Bombyx mori: one gene and its partners. The protein of the gene in region 1 binds, or shares a complex with, the protein of each later gene. Links are inferred from orthologs where the notes say so. Each region holds a gene or a part of one and is shown on either strand. Other genes may lie near its edges.

What was found.
Region 2: ruvB-like 2 (region 1) and prefoldin subunit 2 share a complex: the UniProt entries of both Homo sapiens proteins name them as parts of the PAQosome complex. The link is inferred for Bombyx mori from reciprocal best matches to the Homo sapiens genes RUVBL2 and PFDN2.
Region 3: ruvB-like 2 (region 1) and dynein axonemal assembly factor 10 share a complex: the UniProt entries of both Homo sapiens proteins name them as parts of the PAQosome complex. The link is inferred for Bombyx mori from reciprocal best matches to the Homo sapiens genes RUVBL2 and DNAAF10.

What each region holds. Positions count from the first base shown.
Region 1 is NC_085117.1:3,007,833-3,014,361, reverse strand, and holds the start of ruvB-like 2, read right to left. Parts: upstream 3,830-6,529; 5' UTR 3,641-3,829; coding exon 3,635-3,640; intron 3,515-3,634; coding exon 3,328-3,514; intron 3,028-3,327; coding exon 2,911-3,027; intron 2,239-2,910; coding exon 2,157-2,238; intron 1,282-2,156; coding exon 1,119-1,281; intron 645-1,118; coding exon 548-644; intron 1-547. UniProt on the Homo sapiens protein: Possesses single-stranded DNA-stimulated ATPase and ATP-dependent DNA helicase (5' to 3') activity; hexamerization is thought to be critical for ATP hydrolysis and adjacent subunits in the ring-like structure contribute to the ATPase activity.
Region 2 is NC_085129.1:193,917-199,390, forward strand, and holds prefoldin subunit 2, read left to right. Parts: upstream 1-1,448; 5' UTR 1,449-1,804; coding exon 1,805-1,938; intron 1,939-2,020; coding exon 2,021-2,318; 3' UTR 2,319-3,856; downstream 3,857-5,474. Other genes in the region: molybdenum cofactor biosynthesis protein 1, read right to left, coding at 4,716-5,105, 5,183-5,474. UniProt on the Homo sapiens protein: Binds specifically to cytosolic chaperonin (c-CPN) and transfers target proteins to it. Binds to nascent polypeptide chain and promotes folding in an environment in which there are many competing pathways for nonnative proteins.
Region 3 is NC_085131.1:9,118,106-9,123,462, forward strand, and holds the start of dynein axonemal assembly factor 10, read right to left. Parts: upstream 4,027-5,357; 5' UTR 3,925-4,026; coding exon 3,641-3,924; intron 3,559-3,640; coding exon 3,431-3,558; intron 3,083-3,430; coding exon 2,865-3,082; intron 2,103-2,864; coding exon 1,980-2,102; intron 1,041-1,979; coding exon 928-1,040; intron 7-927; coding exon 1-6. Other genes in the region: CXXC-type zinc finger protein 1, read left to right, coding at 5,334-5,357. UniProt on the Homo sapiens protein: Key assembly factor specifically required for the stability of axonemal dynein heavy chains in cytoplasm.

The DNA of each region.
Region 1 (6,529 bases):
TCTCTTTTATAGCTTTTATAGCCAGGACAACATCTCTACAATTACCGAGAACATTCCTGGTAGGACCAGTCGTTTCGATAGGTGTTTCCGCTATTTGATAATAGATGCAAGTTACACTTCTCGAGCATTCCCGATTTTATTAGTTCTTTTAATATTCGTTTTTGCTATTCGGCGACAGATGGCATTATTATTATCAGCGTAATAAGAACTTAATGCAAATTATTGTATAATCATCGGTCCTTGACACAAGTGAAAATTTTCAAGTCGATCAAACATCTTAAGCAATTTGAAAGAATCCGTTACATACAATTGATTTGTCAGATTTTTTTTTTATTTTTTTTTTGTGCAGGCATTTTACTATAGGCAGACGAGCATACGGCCTACTTGATGGGAAGCAGTTACCGTCACCCATGGACCTCAGCAATGTCAGGAGCAGAGCCAAGTCGCTGCCTACCGTATATCTAGTGTTTGTTTAAAGATAGGCTCCTTCCAAATCATTCCTTTCACATTGTCTTCGATACATTGGCAATTCAATATAGCTGCTCACCGGTAGCATCATAGTCTCTGGCTCTGGCAAAACTCCTGCCGAGCTTGTTTATTTTGCCTGTAGCCTTGTCTATGGTGATCACATCTCCGGCTTGAACCTGTCAACAAGAAAATCGTTCAGCAACTAGTTCGGACCTAGCAAGCTAGAGTCTAGTCAGCAAGTATGTGGCTTATTTGGTATTAAATAGTTACTGGATCTCATGGACATCAACAAGGTGGTGAGGTTACTTGAACTAGGTTAACTAGGTTATATATTATATTATATACTATAACGAATACAGCTAAATCAGTCAAGCAGTTTTTAATCCACTGAGTTTCTCACCAGATCTTCTGAGTGAATCGCAATTCCGATCCGGTGTTAGATACAGCGAAGCACTGCTCTTGCTAAGGTTAGTATTAGAGTCCCGTGAGCTCACCTACTTGTTAGGTTACGTGAATATAGCTTCTCAACGTTACCAGAGTACGTAGGAAAAAAAAAAACTGACCGTATCTCTACCGAGCAATATCACCAACTCAGTGGAAGATTTTCGCTTTGTCGATAAACCTTAGTACCAGAGTACCATATATCAGACCTTCTCTTTAAGCAGCGAATCAATCATTTTGGCTCCCATGTCGTAGTTCGTTTCCATGTCGGTGGTCTTGAGGGTGAGACGGCCGACCCTGGCGCCGCCGCCCCCCGCCGCACGCTCCACTACCACCTCGACGACCTCCCCTTCAATTATCTCAGACTCCTCCCTGCGATTACGAATAATAAAATATCAATAAGGCAACGCTGGTACAAAAATCATATCGAAGGGTGAAAGTGGTCCAGCGGTCATCGTTCTTCAACCCACTGAGTTTCTCGCCGGATCTTCTCAGTAGGTAGCGATCCGGTGGCAGATTCTGAGAAGCTAGGCTCTTGCTAGGGTTCGTCTTAGCAACGTCATCAGGTTTGAGCCCTGTGGGCTAACCTACTCGCCCGGTGACGCTGACATAACCTCTCAAAGCTATCAGATAAGGTAGGAAAGAAAAACACACACACACACAAACATTAAAAAGACGTAAAGTCTAAACGACGTAACTAACTTTGAACGTCATTCTCAAGCTATAATGCGTTTCGCTTTGAAGGGTGGGGCCAGCCGTTGTTCTAAAGAACTCACGTCTCAAGATGACAATTACGTCATTGATGTCCACTGACCTCCATGGGCCGTGAGCATATTCACCCGTTTCAACGATGAAAAAATGAAATAAAAACCGTAAAAAAGTAATTTCGAATATACATACAATAATTCACATAGATTAAAGACATGAGTGGATGAAGGGGTTAAGTACAATTTTTAAGATTTTTGAGTTTTTACTTTGGATGAAGGTGTTATGTGCCTATAAACCATATTAGACCTTAAAACGCCAGGTTTAAAGGTTATATTTAGAAATTGAGGAAGGAGTTGTGTACGAAGAAAAAGTACAAGAAAGAAACGTTTTCTCAAAATTAACAAATTGTATCATATCCCCCTCATCCACTTATGTTTTCATGTAATATATGTTTACAATGTACCATACAAATTCTTAGTTAGTGCAATAGTAGTAGTAGTTAGTGGTATGTATAATGAACAATATAAAATTTTACTTACTTAATTCTAATACCTATAGACTTCCTGATGGCCTGCGTTAGAGCCTCAGTTTTACTCATTTCCAAAGAGAATATCTCCGAACCTGTCAAAGAGAAAACAATATAAATTTATTTCAATAAAATTAAATAGTTATTTTTTACTCTACCCATTTGCTAGTTTCCTATCGAACTATTCAGCTCCACCCGGACGGTTTATGAGCTCATTGGGTCAGCCTGAGAAATTTTGCTAATAAGCAAGCAAATATGGCCAAGCTAATGGATGAGAATCGCGATCAGCTAAGATCGGACGAGAAACTCACTGGGTTGTGTTTATGGATATATAAAAGTGAGAAACTAGGATATATTCATTGATGAGCGTCTTTCAAAGCTAACCATAAGTAACTTGAATCTCATGAAGATAGCTGAAACCAAAGCTGATCATGGTGGTAACAAAAATATCTAATTTACAGCAGAAGTTTTAGTCAGCCACACTCGCAAATTGATTTATTAAGGAACAATTAACATAGTACCATACAAATTATGCATTTTGATTTATTTATTAATTCTCTAATGCAATTAACACTTATTTTAGAATTATCAACTAAATGTAAAAAAACAACTGTGCCTGAATTATGTATTTAGAACATAATGCAGCTTAAATTTAAGGCAAACAAACTAACGAAATAAATTGAGGACTGACAAAAAAAAAGGTGAGTTGTATTAAAAAAAAAACACATGTAAATAATAAAAAAAGATGGTGGAATTGTTTCACTCACCGGCCATGCTCGTAAATGGTGTGTCCGGTCCCAGAGCTTGTGCTAGTCCCATAGCGATGGCAGTCTTCCCTGTACCAGGCTGACCGGCCAATAACACTGCTCGTCCCGCTATCTTACCTATAATTACAATATTGTAGATGTATGTGATATAAATTCACCTGTTGACCGGGCTGCGCTTAACTGGCGCCCACAAGGTTCCACTCAGTTTTTTATTACTCTACACTGCTTATCTAAACAAATTAGTTAAGTGATGAAAGAATATTATAACAAAAGGACATAGCAGTACCATAGAAAACGAGTTCATAAACATAACATTTTAGCTCCTAAGCCGCAAACTGTTTAATTGAAAAAAAAGTTTGAAAATTTCTTGTTACCTAGCAACTGTATTGTTTGATCAAAAAGTTTCCTTTAGGATACCTTCTCGAATCATCTGTAAGATGACTCCGGCGGCCTTCCTTGCCATCTTCTGGCCGACCATGCCCTGCGATACTTGTCTTGGCTCCAAAGAGTCATCTAAGCCCAGTCCTCTAATGTGGGAATGCGCGCCAATTCTCTCGATGCGCGTTATAGAACGCACTTCTTGTACTTGCGCCGCTGCTATTGACTAAAACGTACAATGACTTTTTTATTCTGAAGGAAAATCCCAATTTTACAATTTTTGAGGTTATGATTTCAGTTTAAATACACACTATTTACGAATTATACATAAAGCTTAGATACTTACAGCCATTTTCGTGGTATTTTAAACACTAGTGAGGTAGTTTTAATACTAATTAACTATGTTTTAAATGTAATTTTCACAAAAACAAATGCGGCGCTTTTGCGTGTTTGGTCTCCAAACAAATTTAACAAAACAGATTATACTACGTTAATGACATGACACTGACATTTGATTCGTCGTATACTTCGATGATCGCGACTGACAGCTGTCACCGAATGTATGTTTTCGTTAAGTTTCGATGTTAGATAGTTTTTTAGTTAGTTCGTCGTGCCACCTAATCCATGCGTTAGCCCGCTGAGTTTCTCGGTGGATATTCTCAGCGGGTTGCGATTCCGATCTAGTAGTAGATTCATTCGTAAAGCAGCTGTTTTTAGGTTGTAGGTCTCCTTTGAAGGCGCTTAGGAGCTGTTAGCAAATCCTAGCCCCCCTGGCTGAGCCTTTGTTCACCCATCTGTCCTGGTGAAATTGGAAAAGCCTCCGGGCCACCAGTAATCCCTCATTCATAAAAAAATTATCTCAAAAGACTTTCATGGTATTTTTAACAAAAATAACTCTGAATAAGAGAAAAGCTTATTTTTAATAGCCTTTTTCAAACACAATAGACATATAAACCAAGAGAACATCATTTCACTATGAATTTGATAAGATTTTCATAAACAAATTTTTAATATCGTTTTTTTTAACACCGAAACATTGTAGGACCATCCCTAATCAAACCAGCTCTCACTTTCATACAGCCACGGCTTTCACTCTATTTTTTATATATTTCGTTAGCTATACGACCTTATAGCTAGCCTATTAAGTTACCAGAGTGCGTAGACATCACAGTGGCTGAAGTCTCGTTTAATCACTGAAGTAGGAAACCTATGGAAATGAAACGTCAACAAAAAATTCGTGCCACTGTGACGTCATCTGGCCACAAAAGATGGCGGTTTTAGTGCTGCCCAGATGATTTTAATGTTAGTAGGTTTTATCGATAAACGTTCTTGGCTCATTTTATTTTAAATATTGTTGAGTGAATGTATTTGTCGAATTTATACTTTAATAGGAAGTAAGTATATTGTTATGTGCAAAGATGATGTGATTTAGATATTATGTGTAATCTAAGACGAGTTCGTGCTTTAAATTTGCCAAGTAAACGATATGACGATTTTTAAAATTTGCTACACTAATTTTATAAAGTTGTCGTTTGCCGCAAAACATAAAGATATGGCGTAGTACAGTGCCATCTGCCCATTTCGAGCATGCTGAATGATATCGTATTTTGAGTACGTGTTTTTCTTAGACTATTACAATCTATTTTAATTGTTTTGCTGACTCTAAAGTCCGTAACACACTACCGCAGCGCACCTCAAGGAAGGTACGCCGCACCATTTTAAACTTATCAAGGGACCGCCTGATAAAAAAAACACCTACAAAACATTTATTCGTTAATAAAATTACAAACATTCCTTGTGACTTCCTCTCTAAAATCACTTAATTATTAAATATTAAACGAGTTGACAATAGTGTTATAAAACTATTTTATTTAAATAGTTCCGACGACTTTCTTGAGATCCTATAAAATATGTTTTAATTATTATTTTTGTATGTTTTAAGCATGATAAAATAAGAAATTTTATATAAGCAATCATATTAAATCGATATCAAAGTCAATAAATAATGTAAAACCCAAAACAGACGGCCGAACTGACGTGACAATGACATTTGGCGCGCTAAACATGGCGGATTTTCGGCCTCATTAGACGGAGACGGAGACATTTACGTATATTCATGTTTCATTTTATGTACGCACTGAAATACTGTTATATTGTTTTCCTGCGAGTTAAAGTGGTGAGTAAGAACGAGATAGATATATGTTTATGTATGTGCCTTCAAAATGGGTGCTATTTATATAAGCAATTGTACGTATAGAACAATATGTCGTGTCCCTACTATATAGGTCTATGCGTTTAATTCGATCTCAATTGATTACAGTCACAAATAATTGACAAATAAATCAACTTCATTTCATTCCCCTTCATGTCATTTTTTTTATTTTTTATTTTTTATTGATTTGATGGGTGGACGAGCTCACAGCCCACCTGGTGTTAAGTGGTTACTGGAGCCCATAGACATCTACAACGTAAATGCGCCACCCACCTAAATATATAACAGAATATATATATTTTTTGTATCATGTTGCTACCGGTCAGAACATTAGAGCGAAGTTATAAATTTATTGCAATATCATCGATCCTGGATGCGCGTACGAATTCACCTATTTAATTGGATGTCGTGAAGTCGATGAAAATGACGTTTAAAGATTCCGTTACATACAAACAAACATAAGGGGCTATTTCAACGCTATTTCAAACGTTAACCTAAGGGGCTATTTCAACTTCACGCGGACGTGTAGGTGAGCTCACAGGCTCAACCTGAGAGAATTGCTAACACAGCCCTAGCAAGAGCAGTGCATCGTTGAATTTACCACCGGATCTGAATCGCGGCCCATTGAGAAGATTCGGCGAGAAACTCAGTTGGGTTGTGTATAAATTTTTTTTCTACCTATGCTGATAGCCTCGAGAGGCTATTTCGGCTTCTCCTTGACGTGTAGGTGAGCTCATGGGGCAAATCGGGAGTGTAGCTAACACTGGCCCTAGCAAGAGCCGGAAACGCGACCCACTGAGCCCTAGCTCAGCTTTGCTTAATCTACCACCAGATCGGAAACGCAACTCACTGAGAAGATCCATCGAGAAACTCAGTGGGCTGTGTCTATGGATTCATTTACTTGTGGAGCCCTTCGTCGCAAGCGACGGGCTCGGCGAGGATGGTGACCGAGGGTTGTGTCTATGGGCTAGTTAGCACGTCGAACTATTCGCCGGAGTCGACGAATTCGAAAAGGACGGTGATCCGGTG
Region 2 (5,474 bases), on another chromosome or scaffold:
CATACCGTCGGCCCCGAAGGTCAAATACTTAGACGTCACCCTCGACAGAGAAATGACATTCCGCCCCCACTTGAAGACGGTACGTGATCATGCCGCCTTCATACTAGGATGTCTCTACACTCTCTATCCGATGATATGCAGGCGAAGTAAATTATCCCTTAGAAATAGGGTGACACTCTACAAAACTTGCGTACGCCCTGATATGACCTATGCAAGCGCAGTGTTCGCTCACGCGGCCCGCACTAGCTTAAAATCATTCCAAGTTATTCAATCCCGTTTTTGCAGGATAGCCGTCGGAGCTCCACGACGACCTGGACTTAGAGTCCATCAGTAAGTATCTTCAGTCGGCGTCAATGCGCCACTTCGATAAAGCGGCACGACACGAGAACCCTCTCATCGTGGCCGTCGGTAACTACAATCCCGATCCTGCGGTGAGAATGGAAAGCTGTCGACGTCGCCCCAAACACGTCATTTCGGATCCTCCCGATCCACTAACAGTGCTTTTAAGTACCTCAAGCACCGGTCATCGTTCTCGTCGAACCCGTCATCGTTCTCGTCGAACCCGTCGCTTGCGACGAAGGGCTCGACGAATAAAGTAACCCTCAGACACAGCCCACTGAGTTTCTCGTCGGTTCTTCTCAATGGGTCGCGTTTCCGATCAGGTGGTAGATTCTGCGAAGCACGGCTCTTGCTAGGGTTTGTGTTAACAACATCATCCGGCTTGAGCCCCGTGAGCTCACCTACTAGTTAAGGCGACACTGATATAGCCTCTCAAGGCTATCAGCATAGGTAGGAAAAAAATAATCTAATCATACTTACTTGGCGTAGGGATACGGTGATCATGCAGGCGGTTTCCCCCAGGGTGAGGCTGCTCCATTGCACTATGGAGTGGTTGACCCTTGCGATAATTTTTATTTTTTAAAGGTTTCACTTCTACCGTGTGTGACTTGCACACACGTCACACATACATTTTTTTTTTCTTATCTAAGCTGGGTATTACGGATAAAATGTTCCTACCTATAGTCCTAACCTTGCACCTTCAGACTTCCACCTGTTTCGATCTCTTCAGAATTTTTTAGGCATTGTCAGGTTAACATCACGAGAGGACTGCCAAAACCAATTGTCGCGGTATTTTGATCGGAAGCCCCATAGCAATGGGATCATGTCCCTACCTACAAGATGGCAAAAAGTTATCGAACAAAATGGTACCTACATACTTTAGTTAAATGTAAATAAACAATATTAAAAAATGTGAATTTTCTTAAAAAATGCGAAGAAACTTTTTCCCCAACTATTGTACTATTAGAACTTAGTAGTTTAAATTTTATTAGTAATAGACAAAGACTTTAATGCTTTTAATCTAAGGATTAGGATATTATCAAAATACGTCCCAAAAATGCTTTTTAAATATAATAGATGCTTTTCAGGAGTTGGTTGTCATGACTCAAACTTATCTCAAGTGTTTCACAAACTATGGTCACAATTTATTTGAGGGTAAAGATTTTCTTGTGAAGTAATAAAAAAAAAAATTGCCTAAAAGGTAAAGTAGCCAGCGTTCGCAAAAAAAAAACTGACATGTACATTAATGTACATAACCTAATCCGTGTATTCGATAAAAACTAGTTAATTTGAGTTTTTGTTAATTTAAAATACATTTACATGTTCTTTTATTTTTAAAACTTTCAGTAAACCGTGATTATTTTTACTTTTCAAAGAGAGTTAAATTGATTACTCTTTTTTTAAAACTATATAAAAAAAAATCCTAAAATTTTGATTTCCATTTCCCCTACCTACCTAGAGTAAAATGGCTAAAAATACATCAAAAGTAGGAAAAAAAACGAATGAGGAAATCTTTGCTGGTTTCCAAACTCTTCGTAATGAACAACGTCAATTAGGGAGTAAAATATCAGAATTACAAATGGAGTTAAACGAACATAAGTGAGTAAATGTGGAATAAATCTATTGCATATCAATCTACTGCTTAAAAAAATACAAAATACATAGTAAATTATGTCTACAGGATCGTAATTGAGACTTTGCGGGGAGTGGAGTTGACCCGTAAGTGTTTCCGGATGTTTGGGGGCGTGCTTGTCGAACGCACCGTAGCTGAGGTGTTGCCAGAGCTGATCAGCAATTATGAACAGCTACCTAAGGCCATCCAGTCCCTAGAAGACCAACTCACTCAGAAGGGAGAGGAGATCAATAAATACATTGAGGAACATGATATTCGCATCCAACGTGCTGATCGCACCATGCCTGAACCACCTCCAGAGCAATCCACCTCTACCAAGTCTAATGTGCTAGTTGCTAGCGGTTAACTATACTGATCCTTTCATTTCATATAGCTGTCGCAGTGTATTGACAGTGAGACTAGTCCTACATTTGCCTAAAGCAGTGTGAGGTAGTACTGGGAAACTTTTTATTATTAACAATACTATTACGGTGTGGCTTGATAAATTAGTTCTGGCTGATGTTTAGGGGCAAGGGGGGCAAACATGGTATTATGAAGCAGTACTTTATGAATATGATGACAAGAAAAGGAAAATCTAACTGAATATCCATCTCAACCAGATAAATAAATCATTTTAGTGTGACAATACTCCAAGACACTTAACCACATATTTAAAGAAAGGAATACTACAGCGAAAACTCCACAGAGAATAATTAATTCCCCAGCTGAATGTGCTCAAATAATGTGGAATTAAACTCAATAAACAGTTTTTTCAGGCAGTAGAATATGAACCCTTGTCTAGTGGAAAGTAGTATGATAATAAACTTTAATAATAAAATAGATCTTGAACAACTTTTCAACACTTTTCATGGAATATGTAATACAAATGCAGAGAAGCAGTCTCTTTGTCCCAACAATTATGAGAATAGCTTCATTTAAGAAGTCAAGACAATATGGAGTTTTTTGTTGTTGTCCTCACCATTCTTTAACAATGTCTAAGGTGACAGTGATATATTTCTAATCAAAAACAATAAGCTTTGAATGTTTAAACTCTAAACATTAGAGTAATATATGAGAGAAAAATAATTTAAATAGTAAAATGTTTTCCACATTGTGCTATATGTATATTCCCAATGCTGTCACAGCATCTGAAGCTCACCTATGCAGAGTCAATGTGATTGGTAGGCAACTGTAATAAGTAGAAATATCACTGAAACCTTGAGAGTATTGTTTAACTGTGTACATAGCTTTAAGGTTTACTGCTATTTTGAAGTGTTTGGCCAGTTAACAAGCCTGAATGCCTGAATTTTTCATTTGCCCTTGCCCAGACGAGCATACGGCTCACCATTGCCAGGGGTAGAGCCAACTTACTGCCAACAATTTGAATGATATACTATACGCATGTCCGAGTTCAGAGATGAACTATGGCAATCAGGTAATAACTTTGTGTAAAAAGTCTCAACTGAAAAGTTAATAAGTTTGGATAATTTATTACTTGCACCATACTCTAAGTGAGCATGGTTAGATTATTACCTTATTTCTATGGACAACTATACAATATAATTAAAACTTCCTATACTCTTAGCAGGATGGTGACATTCATAATGTTGTCAGAGGTCTGATAAAATTTTAATACCAGGTGGGATGTCACAATAAAACAGTGACAACTTTTTCTGTTTCATCAGGTGAATTTTAATATGATTATAAAACATGATCATGGCTAGATTCATATTTGGTTTTAATTTTTGGAACCTTAAAATTTATTGTTACTTAAAATAAAAATAGCCAGGAATAACAAGAAACTTTATTTTATAATATAGAAAAGAATAACTAAACAAAAAAAAGTGTACTAATATTTATTTCATGTAAAGTAATTTTGTATAAAATATATTTCTGAAAAATTCATTTTTGTAGTTTGGACTTGTAAGGGTCTGACGACTAATCTCCAATACTGTTGATACCACAGAGGATAACAAACAATTGGCATGCAAGTCCTTTCGTTGACATGTTTATTGTAATCCAAACTTTACATTTAGTCGGGCCCTGCCTTCTTACCTCCATGTATCAGGTGGGGTATTAGAAACCACAGTGGATGGATTTAGGTTTTTTTACAATGTTTCCACTTAAAATAGTTCTGAGTGTTGTGCTGGCGAACTATGGCGTCTAGTGGAGCCGCACGGCGGGCGCCACTAACATCCATTTTATTCCAAGAAGCAGTTACGTTCAGGTAAGGTGGAACCTTCAAAAGCAATTGAGATTTCGAACTCATATTTCTAGGAACGAAATGAAGTAGAATGAATATTAGAAGGCCATACAGTTAGTTGGCCGAGCAATTCGCATAATATCCCGCGCACAGCACATCTAAATGTCTTACAATTTAACAGCTTTGACTGTTCCTCAAGTTTGTTGATATACCAGTCATATATGATGATGTTCTATGATAATCCAAAATAATTGCAATCTAACATTCTGCATTCCGTTAGCATTGTGTTATGTCCGTGAGAGGCGCAGCCGGAGCCCAGTGTGAGAAGATTCTAATGTCGCATTTGATTAACATGTATTTAAATTATAATAAAATTTGAAGACTTAACGTTGTTTTTTATTAACATCCAGTAGTTAATTTTGTTCTTGGTTAATATTGTACAATAGCACCATTACCTTAAAAGCTAAATTCATAACCACGAAGTAAAGCACGAGGAGGAGCGAGGGCACAGCGTTACCGCGGCGCGGCACTACCCACTAGTCACAGGTTTGTGGTGACCAGTTAGAAGTGTGCGAGGTCGGTGGGCGCGTAGGTCTCCTTGGGGTCGAGCGGGGTCGTGTCGGGGGCGCGCAGGGGCGGCGGGGGCGAGCGGGCGCGCGGGGTCGACCCGCCCGACTTGTGCACCACGCGCAGCTCCGACACCGACATGTGCTTGTCCACCGCCTTGCACATGTCGTACAGCGCCAGCGCGGCCACCGCCGCCCCCACCAGCGCCTCCATCTCCACCCCCGTGCGGCCCTCCGCCCCCACCTCGCAGCGCACCCGCACCGCGCCCCCCGCCGCGCACTCCCCGCCGGGCAGCGACACCCGCACGCGCACCAGCTCCAGCGCCAGCGGGTGGCAGAGCGGGATCAGATCGGACGTGCGCTTTGCGCCCAGCACTCCCGCGATCTGTAAGGAGTGTTTGACTTAATCATTCATTTTAAAGATTCCATTTGGGTCTGCATCGAATTCGAGAAATAAATTACTTCGGCAACGGTGAGCGCGTCTCCCTTGGGCATGGCGGCGTCCCGGAGCAGGCGCAGCAGGCGGCCGCCGACGCGCAGCTCGCACTCGGCGGCGGCGGCGCGCTGCGTGCGCGGCTTGGAGCTGACGTCCACCATGCGGGCGCGGCCCTGCGCGTCCAGGTGCGAGAGGCGGGCGGGCGGCTCGGACCCCCCGGACCCCCGCGACCCCCCCGTGCAGTAAGCGCGCGCCTGTAGCCGGCCGCTCCCCCCGACCCCCTGTACTTTGAACGCGCGCCCGTCTCTCGAGGTTAAG
Region 3 (5,357 bases), on another chromosome or scaffold:
TATTCACTGTAACAAACGAATTGTGTATTGTAACCCACGCCAAAAATAAAGAGAGGTAGAAGCTCTACCTTGCTTTGCTACAAAACATATCGCTAAGCCGGCTAAACAGTTATAATGCGTCTCTTTTCTTTTTTTCCTACCTAAGCTGATAACCTTAGGAGGCTATGTCAGCATAACCTAACAAGTAGGTGAGCTCACGGGGCTCAAACCTGGGGGCGTTGCTAACACTATGAGCAAAAGCAGTGCTTCGCAGAATCTACCACCGGATCGAAAACGCGACTGAGAAGATCCGGCGAGAAATTATTGGTTGAATACGTCTCTCTGATTTGTTGAAATTACTGGCATACTACCGGCCATCTATTCTTCGCTTTATTTAATATATCGCTAATTGACTCAGAGTCGGACACACATTTGTATGATGAACAGATTTGTTTCCTCTTTAATGATGGTTAACATCTATGAAGTACCTATTTAAATAAGTATGTATATCTGGTAGCCATAGAACAAGGAATGTTTGGGACCAATGTGTTTAGTGCGAGTTTTTTAACGTTCTCGATAGCGTAAAAGTTAACTTAAATTAGTTGGAACAGCGCCCCTAGCGGCAAACGTAGGCAGACGTTCCAAGTCCATACAAAGTAGCGTTAACTTTTACACTATCGAGAACGTTACAAAGCTCGCACTAAGCACACAGATGACCGTGTGTTGCTTTTTCCTGAGTTTCTATAAAAAAATGCTTATCTTCTATACTTCTGCGCGGTGTTTGTACAATGCAATTGAATATATGTTTAGTTATAGTAAACTTCTACACGAAAGCTTCTGATATAATTTTTATACTATAACTATGAACCTACAGTAGTAGATGCCCGATGCAACAATGACCGGGAAGTCCTACTTTGAACTGATCATAAGGCAAAATCAAAGTCTTACTATTTCCACAATGTGACTTGCCCATTACCAGCACACGTCATAAACAAGTCACGGTTCTGAGGGATGTGTCGCGCAATCCATATCGTACCGCTCTTCGTTGAATTATCCACCACCTGGACACAGATATATTGAGATAGATATATTTTTAAAAATTAACCTATAACATTAATTAATCACTCAAAATCAAAACGTATGGCTTTTAGTTTAATAAATTTAGTTTATTAAGAGCAGCATTGTTTCATGAATATTATGGAAGAACGGTAATTATTTTTTTTTTTTTTTTTTTTTTTTTTTTATTGCTTAGATGTGTGGACGAGCTCACAGCCCACCTGGTGTTAAGTGGTTACTGGAGCCCATAGACATCTACAACGTAAATGCGCCACACACCTTGAGATATAGTTCTAAGGTCTCAGTATTAGTCACAACGGCTGCCCCACCCTTCAAACCGAAACGCATTACTGCTTCACGGCAGAAATAGGCGGGGCGGTGGTACCTACCCGTGCGGACTCACAAGAGGTCCTACCACCAGTAATTACGCAAATTATAATTTTGCGGGTTTGATTTTTATAGCACGATGTTATTCCTTCACCGTGGAAGTCAATCGTGAACATTTGTTGAGTACGTATTTCATTAGAAAAATTGGTACCCGCCTGCGAGATTCGAACACCGGTGCATCGCTCGATACGAATGCACCGGACGTCTTATCCTTTAGGCCACGACGACTTTTAAATTAACTGATGTAACTATAGATTGTGCTTTTAATATATTAAGGTCCATGGATTCTGATGAATAGAGATACAGCCCATCTATTGCTGAGATAACAGACACTGCAATGTGAAGAATTCTGCCAAATACATAGAGTAGATAAACTTTCAAAGAAATTGGAACAACAGCTGTACTATAGTATACACCAGAACATGTGATTTAATGGTGGTAAAAATAGATAAGGCAGGGGTAGGAAAATTCAAATTTAACAATGCTCTGCATTGCATGCAATCTTCATATTTATTTCTCAAAGACATTCCTTGCTGGTCAGTAAAACATTAGGTTACCTGAGCAAATCCTTTAGTTGGATTTTGAGTCCTCACATCAAAAACATGAAACTTCCCTTCAAGTGTGGTTGCCACTAATTTATTCATTGGAATATCTTTACGATCGAATTCTAAGGAACATACCTAAACAAACAAAAATTCTTCAATATTTATCTATTAATTTTGACTTAGATATAATTTAATATATATATATATATATATTTTTTTTTTTATTGCTTACGTGGGTGGATGAGCTCACAGGCCACCTGGTGTTAAGTGGTTACTGGAGCCCATAGACATTTATAATGCAAATGCGCCACCCACCTTGAGATATAAGTTCTAAGGTCTCTGTATAGTTACAACGGCTGCCCCACCCTTCAAGCCGAAACGCATTACTGCTTCACGTCAGAAATAGGCGGGGTAGTGGTACCTACCTGTGCGGACTCACATGAGGTCCTACCACCAGTTATATAAATATATATCTCTATTGCAAAACAACCTATCAAGCTAATTTAGGATATATCATAAACTACAAAGAATTAAAACACACACAGATAATAACAAGTCATTGTTCATCAGAGTACCAGTTGAGATAATGATAAAAATTTCGAGATTAACTGAATTTATTTACTTCAATTGTGTTGATGTTTTCTTAAATAATTACTCACATTAAAATTAAAATGAACTCCCTCCCCCACTACTGTGACTTTTTGAAAAATATAACACATCTTTCTTAGGACAAGATTAAAGTGAATAACTACTGCTACTATACAACTAGTAATGACCCTGTATTTACTGATGTTAACAGGTTTCAGTAACAACTTTTTATCATGCATGTTGTATAATATGCCTATTGCGAGTTGTGACATAAAAATCTTAAATTTAGTCTTGAAATTACATACTTACTCCATTCTTCAAATTACATTCCCACCTAAGTGACATTGTTCTCAAATCAAACATTTTAAGATCTCCATTGTCATAACCAGCAACTACAATCCTTTCAGAATCATTAAATGAGTTTCCGAAGCCAACAGCCCAGCAATCCCTTCTAGTCTCACCTTGCATTGGTTGCATGTTTGCAACAGGTTTACCTCTTTGCCTTGGATCCCAAACCTTTACTGTTCCTATAATTTCAGTAATTATTATGTTATCACTACCATTTTTATTTTTCCTAAAGAGTTTTAAACCCAATGTCTGTTTCTCTGATTACTTATTCTAAATGACTTAACAAATTTTGATACTATTTTCAAAGATATAAATAGAAGTGTGAGAAAGGTTTGTGTATAAAATTTGTAAATATTTTGGACAAAATCAAAATCTGATGAGGATAAAAAAAAAACTATCCCAGTATGTCAACATGGCTAATGGTAGTCAAATCTTAGAAGGTATTGTAATATTGATTTAGAAAATCTACTCATCACCACACGAGTACCCTTTAATGTAACAGGATAATCCTTGGCATGAAACCTTACCATCTCTACTGCCAGTTACAATTTCAGGAGCTCCACAGTTGGTTGTGTTACCTCCCATCCCATCTATTGAGTTAATTATATCTGAATGTTCTTTTGTTATGTACACTTGGGAACCTTTTTCTAAGTCCCTATAGAAAATAAATTATTTATTAACATTCGATTTTTATGATTATCCGGAAAAAGTATGGATTTTATGATTTTGTTACAAACCATACTTCCAAAGTGCCTCTAAAGTCTCCAGTAGCAAATCGTCTCTCAATGTCGCTACTTGCTCCAAACGTTCCACATTTAAACGAGTTAGACCTCTCAATTTCTTTTATTTTCTTAATTTCTCCGGCGTTTATTTCAAATATTTCAATGGTACCCGAGCCTTTCGGTAAAGAACCAAGTACTATAAATTTAGCCGAACATGGTATCCACTTGCAATCAAATAGTGAATGGTTTAAGTTATTTTCAATATGGGTAATTATTTGGGGGGTATTCAATTCTTCCATGACTTAAAAATAGATATAAAAGAAATATTCAAAGGTTTATGCGAATCTTTAGCGAAAACAAACGTGACAGACAGCATTGGTTTTTGGTTGCTAGGCAACAGCATCATAGGCCACATAATATTGCTTTTTTTAAAAGATTTTATGACTTGGTAACTAAGACTTTTAGGTCATGTCTTATTTTAATTAGTATTCTTATTTTTATGAAAAATTATAAATATTATGGAGTGAATGAAGATGATTAGGTAATTTGAGACATTAATCAACTGGGATGAAATTAAATGAATTGAAATGAGATGATGTGGGATGAAATATCAGTAAAATGGTGGTGGTCATTCATTTACTGAGATTTTTTCAGCGGACTTGTTGGAGGATCCCGAGAAGTTACGTCCAGCGGCTTTGTTTCATTTTCCCAGATTTGTCCACTTTCACATATATTAAACTGTTAATAAACCACCGTTATTACACATTTAAACCTGAAGAAACACTAAATAGACAAAATAAAACAAATCACACAATTTCACTTCTTGCGTTCCCGCCAAAAAGTCCATATAATATTTTACGCAAGTCTCAAAAAATATTAAATTTTCAACCCAGCACACTTCACTCTGCTTAAGCCTCCCATGTTCCTATCATTTCCATTTCCTAGACTAGCGCTAATTTAGTTATTCTTTTTTATAAAGCCTTGATGGGGGACTAACTCACAGTCCACTTGGCGTTAAGTGGTAACGGCAGCCCGTAGATCTACAACGTAAATGCCGCCACCCACCTCGAGACATGAGTTGTAAGGAACAATACAGCAGCTGCCCCACCCTTCAAACCGAAACGCATTACTATTTCACGGCAAAAATAGGCAGGATGGTGGTACCTACCCGTTCGGACTCATAAGACGTACTACCACCAGTAATCTTCTAACATTTTTCAGCTTCTCCCCTACTCAAGATGGTGCTCCTTACTTCTTTCTACCCTTCATAAGTTTTAGAGACACTAAAAGGTTAATACTTGAATTATCATTTCAAATTTTAACCTGATTAAAACCTCTGAAAAATCTTTCTTCTTTTTTAAATCACTTTCCGTCCTTCAGTTCGATTTTTTGTTACAATAGACTTGGCATTATGGGCCCTTTTTGTCTTTGGAACAGACCATTCAATCAAATTCTCAACTTTGATTATCCCATGTGTCAAACGACAATTTTATAGCTTGGAAAATTGTGGCCAAACTTTATATTTCAATAACTTTCTAAAAATATGAGGAAATGAAAAGAAAATTGAAAAAAAAATTACGAGTCTAAAGAATGAATGAAGTTATTTATTTGAAAAAAGAATAAAATTTGTTAAATAAAAAATAAAAACTTCCTTGGGTGCTAGCAGTTGTTAGTGTCATTGAATCGGTTTTGAAATAAAGGGAATACAATGGGTGATAAAAAGTCGAGACAA